Elephas maximus indicus: one gene and its partner. The protein of the gene in region 1 interacts with the protein of each later gene in a pairwise test. Links are inferred from orthologs where the notes say so. Each region holds a gene or a part of one and is shown on either strand. Other genes may lie near its edges.

Region 1 (7,086 bases):
GTTCAGAGTTGCCCTGATGACAAGATTCCACTCACCTCATTCTTTTAGGGACTTATGTGCCAGCAGCCGTTGCCTTTACTTCTATAATTGGCTATCTGGCTCTCCTTGCCTGTTCTCCTCTGTCCAAATGTTAAATTTTACTATTCTTTAGGGTTGTCTCCCCCACCGCATCATATAATCACCCTTTGTTGTGTCATTTATTTCTGAGTCCAAACACCAGGCAAAAGACACTCAGTTCAGAAGCATTTTAGAAAACGATTTTACTCACGGCAATGCACATGTTCAAAAAAAAAAATCACAGGTTCAAAATATCACAAATCATTTAATGTTTATTCTTTTTAAAAATAATTTTATCTCAGTTTGTAAATCTTACGTGTGAAGAATTTTTTTTTTGTGGGAAGGCACAGGAATTTTTTTTTTTTTTTTTTTTTTACTGATTTGACATGGAACCAAGTAACCTGCAAATAGTTTGAATTTATGTGATTTGAATTATTATTTAAATTTATAGAAAAAAATTGGCAATTCCACAGTTTAGTTCTGTTTGGACAAATTGGTTTTTTCAATAGAACATTTGGGAAAAGGCAATAGTATGGAACTGTTAAACACTAGCTGTGGGAAGCAAAGCCTACAGCTATGTAAAGGAAAAGGGTTAGTTATCAACAGTACTAAGACAAGTACTAGGTTTTTAGCTCAGGACTTTGTCTTAAAAAAAATCACTTGAGACTAAAGGAGGTTTTAAGTAACTTTATTTTCCAAAAGTCCATCCTATACATAGGTTTTCTTCTACATCTCCAGTTCTTTAAAAACGAATAGAAACAAGGAAAAGCATACCTGACACAGGCTTAAAGTCAGCAGAACTCAGATTTTAAAGAGTTAAGGTCAACAAAGAGAAGCTCTGCATTTGGCCTCTGGGAAGTACTGGCTCCCCAGCAGCTCTGGATGATCTTCTCAAGCCTTTGGCCCAGGACAGAGTCCGTGAAGACAGCCACTGAGAGAGATGGGCGAAGGTTGTGGGCCACAACAGCATAGAGCACATACTGTCGCTCCCCTGAGTAAGGCACCTCCTTGGTCGTCATCTGCCAGAGAGTTATGGCAAAAGAATAGATGTCAGCTTTGGGAGTTATGGTCTCTCCTTTCAGGAGCTCTGGGGCGCGGTGGGTGTAGGTACCGCCTAGGTGGTGAGGAGCGTGGAAGCCTAGCAGACCTTCCAGCCTCTGCGAGCAACCAAAGTCCCCAATTTTGCAGACGTCCTGTTCGCTGATCAGAATGTTCGCTGGTTTCAGGTCCAAGTGCACGATGCTTTGTGAGTGAAGGAACATCAGGCCCTTCACAACATCGAGGGAATACTTGAGACACTTTGTCAGACTTAACAGCCCTCCAGCAGAGCAGGAAGGCTCCTCGGGGAGGCCGGTAGCCCCGTAGATGAGTTGGTGTAAAGTGGTGTTGCCCCCGAACTCCATGACGATGGTGCCTAGACTATTAAAACCCGCGGGCGTGCGCGTACTGGCAGCTACCACCCGCACGATGTTGTCGTGGTGGAGCCTGGCTATGTTGAGCTCAGCCCAAAAGCTTCGCTGCGACGCCAGTCGGTTCTTGGTGCTCTTGTTCACTTGTTTTATGGCCACGGGAAGCCCATGGTAAGTGGCCTTGTAGACCGAGCCAAAGCCTCCAGCGCCCAGCCTTTGCAGGAAGCGCACCTGTTCCCAGTCGATGGAGCACCAGGCCAGGCGGCGGGGCAGCCGAGGTGCCCTGGGAGGGGTGCCACCCAGGACGCGCTGTCCCCGCCGCCCTGGGCGCTCGCAGGGGCTGCTGCAGGGCCGCGAGTCCCCAGAGGGAGACAACTCGCCCGGGAGGACACGGCGCACAGACAGGGGCGAGGGCATAGCACTCTCCAGGTGGAGCCAATACTCAAGGAAAGGAAAAAGAAAAACTGCGCGCGTTAGGACGCATGACTAACAGCCCTTCGCCCACCGAAGCCTTATTACCCTCTTGCCGCATTTTCTCCAAACGAGCCACGTCTGAGATGCTACTCAGCAAGGACTTTCATCAGATGGGGCGAGGGAGACGGGGGTTGAAGGAAGTACAGCAATCGCTTTCAGATGAAAGCATTTCCCCTAAATACGGTGGTTTCTAACAAAAACAAGCTCTCACTACATCAAGTTCACCGTCTAAAGGGCACTGCATTGTCCTTTGACTCACCCAGCTTTGACACTATTTTTTTTATTATAATAAAATGGACTTTTGGCAATTCTCCTTCTCTGAACATTATCAGTCCTAAAGAGACCACACCAATAAAATGGAATGATTTCACACTTTGCAGATTGTCAGTGCTTCTCTCCAGCTGCGGTAAATAACTTCCAGCAGTTATTGGCAGAAAGAGTTGAAATACAAACAGCAAACGTTTGTTTAACCAAATATGGGGATATTAGGTGCAACATTCATCGGGACACAGGTCAAAACACACACCTCCTGAGTTCATGGGGAAAGGAAGCCGCACCCACACTCCGTTCAGTTTATACAGCAAATTAGCAAGACTTCTCACCAACGTGGCTCCCTGGTGGCACAGTGGTTAAGAGCTACGGCAGTTCAAACCCACCAGCCGCTCCCTGGAAACCCTGTGGGGTAGTTCTACTCTGTCCTATAAGGTGGCTAGGAGTTGGAATCCACTTGAAAGCAATGGGTTTGGGTTTTGGGTTTAGTTTTTGGTTCTTATCAACCTACCAACTTCCTGCCAATCCTCCATTCCCTTGGCAATATGGCCCGCCCAGTTCACTCCCTTGCACTCTAGACTTTTCAGTAAATGAGTTACAGAAATTTTGAAGCAGAGTTGAGGATGGAGGGTGGGGGGTGGGGGGGTGGCGCTGGAGAACAACAAAAAAGTTTAGAGTCATAATGAAAGCGTCATATAATAACAAACATGGGAGAATTAATGCAGAGTAAAAATCTGAAGAAATTAAATGTCTCAGTTTCACTAGTGTCTATATAAAACCAGATGTTGAAATAAAATTCAGGGGCTTGTCACTCAACCATAAAGTCTTCCTTTCTAACTTTTATAATGAAAAAAAATTATTTTTACGCCATTGTCTTTGGAAAGCTAAACTAAGCCCATGCCATCAAGCTGACTCTGACTCCAGGTGACCCCACGGGTTTCAGAGTAGAACTGGACTCCACAGGGTTTTCAAGGGTATCACCTTTTGGAAGCAAATCATCAGGCCTTTTTTTCGAGGCACCTCTGGTGGGTTGGAACTGCCAACCTTTCAATTAGGAGAGCTTAGCCATTTATACCACTCAAGGACTCCATCTTTAGAAAAAAGACCAACAATGTCACCTGATTAGTTAAAAAGCACAGAAGAATGTACTTTTTAAAAAGTCAAATGGCAACGTTTCATTCTGACTTACTGTACCCAGAGCACACAGGTTATGGGTAACCACATTTTTATGACAGCTTCTGTGTTTCTAACATATTGGTTCGGAAAACACACATTAATAAACCCGAGCTACTTATTAACATAAGCAGTTTGAGGTTTATTGAGCCCTATATAGGATTTCTCTTCTGCACTATTCCTCTGGATTAGTATGTAATCTTGGATATAATATTTAATTTGTTTGAGCCTCACTCTTTTCACGTAAGAAATTAGGATAATTTATTAAAATAAAAATTATTATTGTGAAATTAAATTTGGGGAATCCTGCCCAAATTACCAACAAAAAACCAAATCTAAAAATTTAAACTATAGAATATTTTAGTAGAAAGGCAATTGTATGCAATTGTACTGAGCCCCAAGTATACAAGGATGACAATGAAAATGAGTAAAATGAAAAATTAATAAAACTATATTCAATGGCTCTATATTGCAAAATTTATTCAATAGTTGGAATTAGAATACTGATGACTCTGAGGACTCTGCATAATGCTAGGAGTGCTGTGAAAATTCTCAGAATAAAAGCACTAGAGCACTGTGCCTCCTAGGTATTACACAGAATGCAGGATGATGTGATTTGTTGTCATATAATATTTATTTAAAAGATAACAACAAGCAATTTTTTTAAAGTGCAGATTTTATGTTTTACATAAAACACAGGGCATTCACAAAAATGTGGTCCTTTTTACACTCAAAAAACACAAACTCATCTGAAAAACTATTTAATTCAGTATCCATTTTAAAAAAAACAGTCATTTGTCTCCTTTTTTTAGGCATCTGAAAATAAGCTTCTCTTTCTCAGCAAACTGCAGGCCCCCTGAAGGCAAGACCTATGTCCCCTGTTGATTTTTTCTTCCCTGCGAGTAGCGTGGTGACTGGCACATGTTGTTATTGTTGTTAGTTGCTGTTGGGTCGAATTCGACTCATGCTGACCCCATTTGTGCAGAGTAGAACTGCTGCACAGGATTTTCAAGGCTATAACCTTTTGGAAGCAGATACCCAGGCCTGTCTTCCAAGGTCCTTCTGAATTTAATTTTTAATTCTGATTTTGTTACCATGGATGTATGCACTAAATAATATTTTGGATCTCAGAAATGGATAAAGCCTAACATGGTGGGAAAAAGCAAAGGCTCTGGGGACAGATGGTCTGGGTATCTTGCTGTCTCTGTGCCTCAGTTTCCTCATCTGCAAAATGAGGAAAATATTAGGTTTCCCTAAGGATTGTTGTGAGGACGAACAGAGCTTCATATATTTAGATAGGGCCCTGGCTTAGAGGAAGTGATATAAAAATGTTAGTTATTATTTATTCAACTCATAAAAACCATGGTGTCATCTAGTTGTCTAGTGCTGCTATAACAGAAATGCCAAAAGTGGGTGGTTTTAACAGAAATTTATTTTCTCACAGTCTAGGAGGCTAGAAGTCTGAATTCGGAGTGCCATTTCCAGGGGAAGGCTTTCTCTGTCCATTGGCTCTGGAGGAAGGTTCTTGTCATCAATCTTCCCCTGGGTTTAGGAGTCTCTCAGCGCAGGGACAGGTCCAAAGGACATGCTCTGCTCTCAGCTCTTCTTCCTTGGTGGTAGGAGGTCCCTCTCCTCTTTGCTGGATCCTCTCTTTTATATCTCAAAAGAAATTGACTAAAGATACAATCTATTCCTGTAAATTGCATGCTGCCTCATTAACATAACTGGCTCTAATCCCACCTCATTAACATCATAGAGGTAGGATTTACAACACAGAGGATAATCACATCAGATCATAAAGTGTTGGACAACCACACCCATACTGGGAATCATGGCCTAGCCAAAGTGACACATATTTTGGGGGGGGGGGGGCACAATTCAATCCATGACACATGGATATGGGTTTACACCAATAAGAAATAGATTTGTTAGACAGTATTGGTTGAAAATGTATCCTACCCGGGCTGAAGTAACTCATTTTACTATAAGTTAAACCAATTTAAACTTTGAGAATTTTTTCTGCTTTAAGTTTTTACTTCTGAGGTTAAAGGTGTAAAAGTACATTGCATTATTGTTATAGACTAAAAACGCTGAGGGTTAACATTCATCTGAAAATGTAACATCCCTAAATCATGCCTAGACAAAGACAGAAGAGCAGAATTTCTTGATAACATCTTCAGTAGCTCTACCAACAGGTGGGGTGGTAGATGAAACAAAGGAGAAAAAACAAGGAAACCGTGTGGGGCTACTGCCAAAGGAAGTCTCTTAGAAGAAAAGGCTTTCCTTGCTCTGCTTTCATGGGAAGCATGACTTAGATGTTTAACTACCATGTAAGCAACAGTATATTTATCACAAGATGTTACTATAGATACCAGAATTAATCGCTCACTTAAATACGATTTTAGGGAAAGAGAATGAATGAGAAACAAGGATTGGTTAAGGCCAACCTCTTTCTGGATAACCCGCGGGGTTGCTGCCGCTCTTAGGCTGGTCGAGTGGCCAGGTGGTGCGGGATCTGGGAGTTTTCCTCCTTTGCCGGGCAGGGCCGAGGAGGTGAGTTTTCCCTTCATAGATTCATGGTCACTGGGAGGTGAGCGTCTTCTGTTCAAGGTCTTTAGGACCGGTTGATATCGCCGCCCACCTGTAGGGCTCACTGGCCTCCAAGGCCTCTTTAGCTTTGAGGTTTCTGTGGCTTGGCTCGCGAACCCCACCCCTCCCATTACCGCCTGGTGTGTGAATCTCCTGACAAGCTGAAAGGCATTTTCACCTATGCTGTGTCTGTTCCTTTTCCTTTCATAGCTGTCAGATAGCATGTAAGTGAGGCCATCTTCCCCCAAGATGACTTTCTTACCTAATATTGAATTGGATCCCTGGTGGCTCAGTGGTCATGAGCTATGACTGCTAACCAAAATGTTGACTGTTTGAATCCACCAGCCGCTCCTGAAACCCTATGGGGCAGTTCTATTGTGTCGTATAGGGTCGCTATGAGTTGGCATCGGCTCCCTGGCATCGGATTTGGTTTGGTTTTGGTTAATATTGAATTAAGCCAAGCTTCTGTGTTCCCTTGCCCTTCTGGTAACACAGTAACTTCTCATTTCAATTCTGAATTATCATGTAATCTTTTGGGAAACATTTTAAAAAATTATTTTTTTTTGTTGAGAGTATACTTAGCAAAACGTACACCAATTCAACAATGTTTACATGAACAATTCAGTGACATTGATTACATTCTTCAAGTTGTGCAGCCATTCTCACCCTCCCTTTCCAAAATGTTCTTCCTCCACTAACATAAACTCACTGCCCCTTTATGTTCCTAAAGTTACTGTTATCAATTTGATCCCATATAGATAGTTCTTTAAAGGGCTCGGTGGTCAAGGCAGACCATTCTTTACTAGTTAAGCTAAATTTTTGTTTGGTTTTAAAAAAGATTTTGGGGGGATATTTTTGGTTTAAGATTTAAAGATTATCTCAGGGCAATAGTTTGGGGGATTCAATCCAGCCTGGATTCCACCTGAATTTGACATTCCGTTCTGCATTTTGATCAGGGTTCTTTAGAATCTTTGATAAAAACATTCAGTAATGGTAGCCGGGCCCCACCCAGTTCTTCTGGTCTCATGGCAAAGGAGGCAGCTGTTTTTGGAGGAAATTAGCCACACATTCTATTTGCTCCTCCTATTCCTGACTCTCCTTCCTCTGTTGCTCC
Region 2 (8,146 bases), on another chromosome or scaffold:
GAATTCACATTAGAGTCACCTGAGTTGTTTTGGTTTTTAGTCCCCAAATAAATAAATAATAAATTCATCTTCATAAAAATCAAATATACTTGCATGGCAAAACCCATCATAAAGCAAATTCATAAGATAAATTACACACTAGGGAAAATATCTGTAATTCAATATCAGAGACAAATACCTAATTTCCAATCTATACAAAAAACTCTTACAAGAAGACAACCATAAAAATGTTTTTAAAATACACTAAAAACATACAGGTGTCTTAAAAAATTAAGACGTTCAGCCTTCGTCATAAGAAATACAAATCTAAGACACCATTTTTCACGTTTCTATCAAAACGACAAAAATCCAAACGTTTGCTAACACTGTTAGCGAAGGCATGGTGAAACAGGCATTTCTGTTTGTTGCAGATGGAGAGACTTCACTACATATAACTTTCTAAACTGTGGATTTTGAACCATTTTAAACTATTATCTGGGGAGCCCTGGTGGCACAATGGTTAAGTGCTTGCCTGCTAACTGAAAGGTCAGTGGTTCGAACCCACCAGCTGCTCTGAGAGAGAAAGATGTGGGAGCCTGCTTTCATAAGAATTTACAGCCTTGGAAACCCTATGGGGCAGTTCTACTCTGTCCTATAGGGTAGCTATGAGTCAGAATTTGACTTGATGGCAATGTTTTTTTTTTTTTATTTTAAAATATAATCTATTCAAAATTATGTCGTAAACAAAAAATCTGCATCACAATATGTTCTCTCATAAGTTGAACGACAATAAAAAAGTGAAAAAACAATTACTTAATTTTCATATAGGCACATAAAGCCTCAGTTATTAGTAGGATGACCAATTCATCCTAGTTTGCCAAGGACCTTTCTGGTTTTAAAAGCGAAAATTACACATCCCAGGAATTATCTCAGTCCCAGGCAAACCAAGAATGCTCCTTAGAAGCAAGGATGGCAAGACTTCATCTCACATACTTTGGACATGTTACCAGGAGGGACCAGTCCCTGGAGAATGACATCATGCTTGGTAAAGTAGAGGGTCAGCAAAAAACAGGAAGACCCTCAATGAGATGGATTGACACGGTGGCTGCAACAATGGGCTCAAGCATAACAATGATTGTAAGGATGGCACAGGACCAGGCAGTGTTTCATGCTGTTTTATACAGAGTTGCTATGAGTCAGAACTAACTCAAGGGCACCTAACAACAACAACAGGCAAACCAAGATGGCTGGTCACTCTATGTACCAAGGGGGAGAGAGGAAAATAAACCCTTAAAGCAAAGACACAGGTACCATTCAACTACCCAAACAGGGAGGTCAGTGATCGTGTACCCTGCTTCGCTTTGTAGCATCACAGAAAGGAGGCACTGCCACTACTTCAAAAAAAAGTTGCTGTTGAGTCACTTCTGACTCATGGTGACCCCACGTGTATCCGAGTAGAACTGTGCTCCATCACCTGAAGAGTTTTTAAAACTACTGAGTCCTTAAAATAAAACAGCATATAATATTAGGTGACTGTATAATAAAATAATTTATTAATATGTATATATAATGATTCCCAGGCCTCAGCCCCAGAACTTCTGATTTTGTTGGTCTGCTACCTGGTATCAGTATTTTTAAAAGCGCTACAGACGATTCTAATATGTAGCCAAGGTTGAGAACAACTGAGCGGAAGATACAGAAAACAACAAAATGCAACACATTAGCTTCAAGAAGCTATGAATCTGAGCTCTACCACTTACGAAGGATGCAACCTTGAGCAAGACAGAGGACACCTACTTTCCTATGTTGATACGAAAGTTAAATGAAACAAATTGGTGAAAACACTTAGCAGAGGGCTCAGCCTACAGCAAGTGCTCAACGAATGCTAGTTGCATTTGACAAGTATTAATTTGGACCAGTTTCATTCTGTTGTACTTAGAGTCACTATGAGTCAGAACCAACTCAACAACACCTAAAAACAACACAAATCTAGACCAGTAGTTCTCAATTTTCAGTGTGCAATGGAATCACCCAGACCAAATCAAACCAAACCTCACTGCCATCGAGTTGATTCCAACTCATAGCGACCCTATAGGACAGAACTGCCCCATAGGTGCTATAGGTGAAAGTTTACAGTTCAAGTGAATTTCTCATTCAAAAATTTATACACATATTGTTTTGTGACATTGGTTGCAATCCCCACAACGTGACAGCAAGTTCCTCCTTTCTACCCCAGTTTTCCTGTGTCCATTTATCCAGTTTCTGTCCCTTCCTGCCTTCTCATCCTGCTTTTGGACAGGAGCTGCCCATTTGGTCTTGAATATTTGATTGAACTAAGAAGCACGTTCCTCGCGTGTATTAATTTTTTGTTTTATTGTTTTATAGGCCTGTCTAATCTTTGTCTGGAAAGTGGCTTCGGGAATGGTTTCAGTTCTGGGTTAACAGTGTCCTGGAGCCATAGTTCCAGGGTTCCTCCAGTCTCTGTCAGATCATTAAGCCTGGTCTTTTTACATGAACTTGAATTCTGTTCTACATTTTTCTCCTGCTCTGTCCAGTACTCTCTGTTGTGTTCCCTGTCAGGGCAGTCATTGGTGGTAGCTGGACACCATCTAGTTCATCTGGTCACAGGTTGGTGGAGTCTCTGGTTCATGTGGTCCTTAGTCCTTTGGGTTAGTATTTTCCTTGTGTCTTTGGTTTTCTTCATTCTCCTTTGCTCTGGGTGGGATAGGACCAATGGATGTATCTTAAATGGCTGCTTGCAAGCTTTTAAGACCCCAGACTCTACTCACCAAAGTGGGATGTAGAACATCTTCTTTATAATCTCATGCCAGTTGACCTGGATGTCTCCTCAGACTACGGTCTTTATGCCCCGTCCCAGCTACTTGTTCCCTCAAAGTGTTTGGATGTGTCTAGGAAACTCCTATGCTTTTGCTTTGGTCCCAATGTCTTGACTTCCCCTGTATTATGTGCTGTCCTTCCCTTCACTGGAGTTGACACTTGTTTACTACATAGTTAGTGACACGGTTAAAATCTTTATGGAAGCAGACTGCCACATCTTTCTCCCACAGAGTGGCCGGTGGGTTCGAACAACCCACTTTTCTGTTAGCAGCTGACAGCTTTAACTGCTGCACACCATGGCTCTGGAACTGATTTAGAGGACTGGTTAAACCACACATTGCTTAGGCCCACCTCCAGAGTTTCTGATTCAGTGTCTAGGGTGGATCTGAAATTTGCATTTCTAAGAAGTTCCCAGGTGTAACTGATGCTGTTGGTCCCAGGATCACATTTTCAGAACCAGTGATCTTGACTATAAACTCTACAGGACAATCTACTTGTTTACTAAAGCATGTTCAATGCCAAATAGTTGCCAGCAGAGACTATATATGCGATGAATTTTTTTTTTCAGTTAATGAACCACTCTGTGCCTGAGAATAACTAGTATCTACTGTCAACAACATGAGAGCAAAGATTTTGTTTTGTTCAATACTCTTTCTACAACACCAAGAACGTGGCTCGGCACACAACAGTGCTCAAAAAGTAATTATTAAAAAAATAAATAGCTGTAAGTTATAAATGATGTCATGTATATGAAAAAAAGTGTGCAAATATTAGCGACAATTATTGTTATTCATTACACTAGGTAATAATTAATCGAGAACTGTGGCTCTTGCAACAGACTCAGACCTTTACTAACCTCTTACTGTCAGTAACTTGCCTAACTGAATCAACAAGCTATTAGATGGGCACTGTTGTTATTAGCGCCACTTTTCAGATGAAGGAAACTGAGGGCCAGAGAGATTAAGTTGCCAAAGCTAGCGAACTGCAAAGCCACAATTCGAACACACGCGGCCTGAAAGCAGCGTTAGTGCTCTTTGCCACCATACATTCAGCAAATGCTACGACCAACAAAGGTCACGGGTGAAAACAACCTCGAAGACGGGAACATGGGGCCAGGGGCCAGGGGTCAGAAGGAAGTCGGGATTCAGCAGGAACACAAGATCAGAGGTCACCAATACGTCACAGGAGGATAGAGGGGGCGTCCCCAAGGATAGTCCGACCCATCCTTCTCAATCGGATTTCAGCCGGTGGGGCCAGAAAGTGACAAAGATACCCGAAAAAAATAAATAAGCAGAAATGAATAAAAATCCTCAGATTCTCTAGGCGGCGGCCATGCTGGAAATGAGGAGAGGAGCATGCGCAGCATCCGGGTTCCCGAGCGCGCACCTAGTGCAGACGTGGCAGACGGAGCGGCCAAGCTCTCCAGCGTGGGGGCGGCACTTCCGGGGACGACGCGACAGCCCCCTCGGAACCGGAAGTGGAGCCTGGGAGCCTTGACGTTAGGAACGTAGTCGGACCTGGATCTGGAGCCGGGTGAGGAGTGGCATCGGGTGGTTGGTGGGTAGGAAAGCAGCATAGAGGCCGAGGTATCACTGGCCAGATCGGGGCCCCGTCTGAGAAAGAAGGGAGGAGTCCGGGGGCAGAACCCAGGAAGAGACCCTCACCTCACGCATCCACAATCCAGGATCAGCTCTGGACCCTCCCTTCGCCTCCCGGCCCAGATTCCGGCTCGCGTTTCCTGTCCCCAGCTTGTTGAAGGGCGCAGGACGTTCGGTCGCCAGGCTTAATGGACCAGCGATGTCTCTCATCCTGGCCCGAGAAGCTGGCTTGGCCCCTCGGTCTTGATCTCCAGCACTGCTAGCCACCACCTCCACAGTTCGACTACTTCCAGAGTTCTAGGAAGCCTGCCCCGCCCCCTTAGGTTGTCATCCTCGACTGCTTTCAGGATGGAGTTGAGACTTGAGCTTGACTCTAAATGCTTGGTGTGTTTAAGAAGAGGGGGTAGATGTTGCTTTGTCGAAAGCCTGTGTCCTACTCCAGCCTCGACTTTTTATTTCCTGGGCTTTTTATTGTCCCCCTCCACTAACTTTAGGGGAGGGGAGCATCTGTCAAGATCAGTGTCAGTGACCTGTGCAAGGTTCAGAATTTGGAAGAACAGATCCTGAGATGGCAAAGGAGGCCCTGTCGAGGAGCAGCTTAGCTTTTCTATGGTCGAGATGGCCCTTCCTAGCAAAGGGGAGAGGTCCATTGTTCCACTGCAGCAGCTGTGAGTTCTGCTGCATCCTGGGCCCCTTCCGTCTATGGGATAGTTGGAAGTGGTGAGACTCTTTAAAGTAGATGTCATCACACAGTCCTCTTCTTTGAAGGATCCTAGTAAGGCTCTCTCATTCATTCCTCTGTCTCTAGGCAAGACTAATAATTTTGGAGGTGGCCAAGATACATGACAAGCATATAAGGAGAGCAGAAGCAGAGAGTTGGCACTGCCTCAGGTGGCGTTTCATCCATTGTGCACGTTGCCATGAGTCCAGGTGACTGGATGGCAGCTAACAACAACTCTGAAGGATAAGATGAATGATTTTTTTGATGAACTATAACTTTGTCACTGATTCTATAGGTTATTGTGAAGAAGTTTTTGTTCCTGGCCTGCACTCAGCTCTAATCTGGTACCTTGCTTGAGTTTTCAGAAGTCCTTTACATTTAGGGAATTTGATGTTTCAGTTGTAATGTGCATATACTCTTTTGATGAGAAAACTAGGAATGGAGTAGGAGTAGCATTTGGATTATTACAGTTTAACCAAAGAATGTCATTTCTCTAATCAGTTACTGTAAAATTTGTCTTTCCAAGGGAAGGGAATTACACTGGTCTGTTTTAGACTTGTAGCCTGGTGTTTAAAAAGACTGGCACTCTCTAGGGTACTCACTGTTTGTGGAATGAATGGATGCTAAAGTGAATGAATGGAAAGTAGGAGCATTGTTTCATTTACCTGTAATATCACAGTAGTTCATCAGCCCCAGGACTCTTTGTGTGACTACACACTAGAAATCATACCACTGGGGAATGGAGGCTGCTGCTCCATTCCAGTGGCCTTATCTGAAGTTGAAATTTATACCCTCTGGTAGTGACAAAGCATGGGGTTCAGAGTAACAAAATCCTTGCTCCCAGGTGGTAATATGGGTACTGGCTGGGGCAGAAAATTACTAAGATCCTGTACTGTGGGAACGATTCCTGATAAAGTCAGTTCTTTTTGTCTCTACTTCCTACCCCAAATGGTTGCTTTCTTTTTAGAAAGTTGGTTTGGACTAATTCCCTTCTTCTCTCTTATTTTATAGGTGATACTGAGTCGGGGATGCTCTCATAATGAATGTCAACCAGTCAGCTCCTCCTTTGCCGCCATATGGGCAGCCCCAGTCTGTCTACCCAGGATATCATCAGTCCAGCTATGGTGGGCAATCAGGGTCCATGGTCCCCCCAGTCCCCTATGGAACCTCCTATAATGGCCCAGTACCAGGCTATCAGCAAACACCTCCCCCAGGTATGTATGTATTTCTAAGTTTCTTTTGAGCTGTGGAAGGGAATCATGAATCTGGTTCTCTGTCACTGAGATCCCTGTGGGCAGTCTGCCCTTCCCTGTTTTTATCATAGGATGACTGTTTCTGGTTCAAACTTAAGCATCTAGTGGAAGCATATCTTCCTGGTTTAGTGGCAGCTCACTTCTGGTGGGTATCACCCCGAGATGCAGCCTCACTCTGGTCAGAACTGGATGAAAGGGTTGTGGTCCCAGCTCCTCCAGAGACTGTGGCCAGGACTATTTCTTATTGTTCTAAAGTCTTCCTGAAATCACTTGTTCCTTGTGTATTGAGAATGCCTTTCAGTGGACAGAAGGTTCTATAAATGACTCTTGGAGCTAGTTCATGGAGGAAAAGTGTGGTGTTCATGGAGGAAAAGTGTGGTGTACATGTTCCTGATTTTTGATGCCTCTCATATCTTTCTGCTGATAGCATTCCTTTTCCTTTGCTTGTGTTTCCTTTGGTTCTTAGGTGCCCTGTAATTTCAGGACAATAGAAGAAGACTAACCTGGTGCTGCCCTTAGGATCAGTGTTTGGCTTTTATTTTACTTCTTCAAGGAAGGGCGGCTAGTACTTTACAAACTATCTAAAGGGGCTTCTTGGAAGAAGCAGGATCTTTAGTTAGGCTAATTGAGGACTTACTGTGTGCCCGCAAACTTTTTATATTTTTACTTTTAAGAGAGTAAATTCTGTAAAGGAATATGGGAAAAACAAGATACCAAGGAGGCATAGTAAGATCTAGGAAATGAATAAAGTATTACTATTTTAATTATAACTTTGAAAAAGTTATTCATGAGGTGTTGAGATTAGGTCTCATTTCTGTAAAAAATCTTTACCGTGGGTTGGGACTTTGGCTGGTCAGAGTCCACCTCTGCTCTCCCAAGTCCTGGCTTATCGTGATGGAGTTTGGCATTGCCTCAAGAGGCAGCTTTGTTATTGACAACAAAACACAGCAAAAGTGATGGTGCCATGCTGTCTCATTAGCAGGAGAGCAGCTAGGAGTACATAAAAAAAAAAAATAAAAACCCACTGCTGTCGAGTCGATTCCGACTCATAGCGACCCTACAGGACAGAGTAGAACTGCCCCATAGTTTCCAAGGAGTGCCGGGCGGATTTGAACTGCTGACCTCTTGGTTAGCAGCCATAGCCCTTAACCACTATACCACCAGGGTTTCCGAGGAGTACATAGCAAGGTGTATATAAGTTTTTGTATGAGAGACTGACTTGATTTGTAAACTTTCACTTAAAGTACAGTAAATAAAAAAAAGAAAAAGAAAAAAAGTGATGGTGCCAAGTAGCTAGTTTTCTTCTGGTGTTTCACCTGGGAAGGACAGTCGGGGTAGTATGCAGCAGATGGTTGGGGTAGTAGAAGTAGCTTGATGGGAACTCTGAGGAGTGGAAAGGATGAGCACAGCTTTTGTGCAAAGAATGGAGTAAAGCTTTTGTCAGAAGACAGGTGGCAGCACTAATGGGAGGGCAGGCCAACTGTCCTGACTTCAGCCTATGGGAAACACTTTCCTGAGCCATGTGCTGTTGGCCTCCTCACTTGGAGGTGGATGAAGAGGGTATGATTAGAGCAAGAATGTATAAAGAAGAAGGTGACAGAATAGTCTACCCAGGAGATGCCTCCTTTGCAACCTAGTTCAGTATATTACTTAATCATCTTCTGTGCACCTTTCTTATTTGTGCTTTAAGTCTCTGAGTTCTGGAGCAGAGTCCTTTCCTTAAAAGAATTGACTTTTTGTCAAGCTTAGGAAAATTA

Evidence for each region.
Region 2: the proteins of MOS (region 1) and SEC24C interact in binary tests that used the Homo sapiens proteins (3 or more experiments, as listed by UniProt). The two-hybrid records come from large-scale screens. The link is inferred for Elephas maximus indicus from reciprocal best matches to the Homo sapiens genes MOS and SEC24C.

The regions. Positions count from the first base shown.
Region 1 is NC_064837.1:76,846,453-76,853,538, reverse strand, and holds MOS (proto-oncogene serine/threonine-protein kinase mos), read right to left. Parts: upstream 1,884-7,086; coding exon 849-1,883; downstream 1-848.
Region 2 is NC_064834.1:13,843,389-13,851,534, reverse strand, and holds the start of SEC24C (protein transport protein Sec24C), read left to right. Parts: upstream 1-4,246; 5' UTR 4,247-4,350; intron 4,351-4,481; exon of another isoform or gene 4,482-4,649; intron 4,650-6,147; 5' UTR 6,148-6,175; coding exon 6,176-6,350; intron 6,351-8,146. UniProt on the Homo sapiens protein: Component of the coat protein complex II (COPII) which promotes the formation of transport vesicles from the endoplasmic reticulum (ER).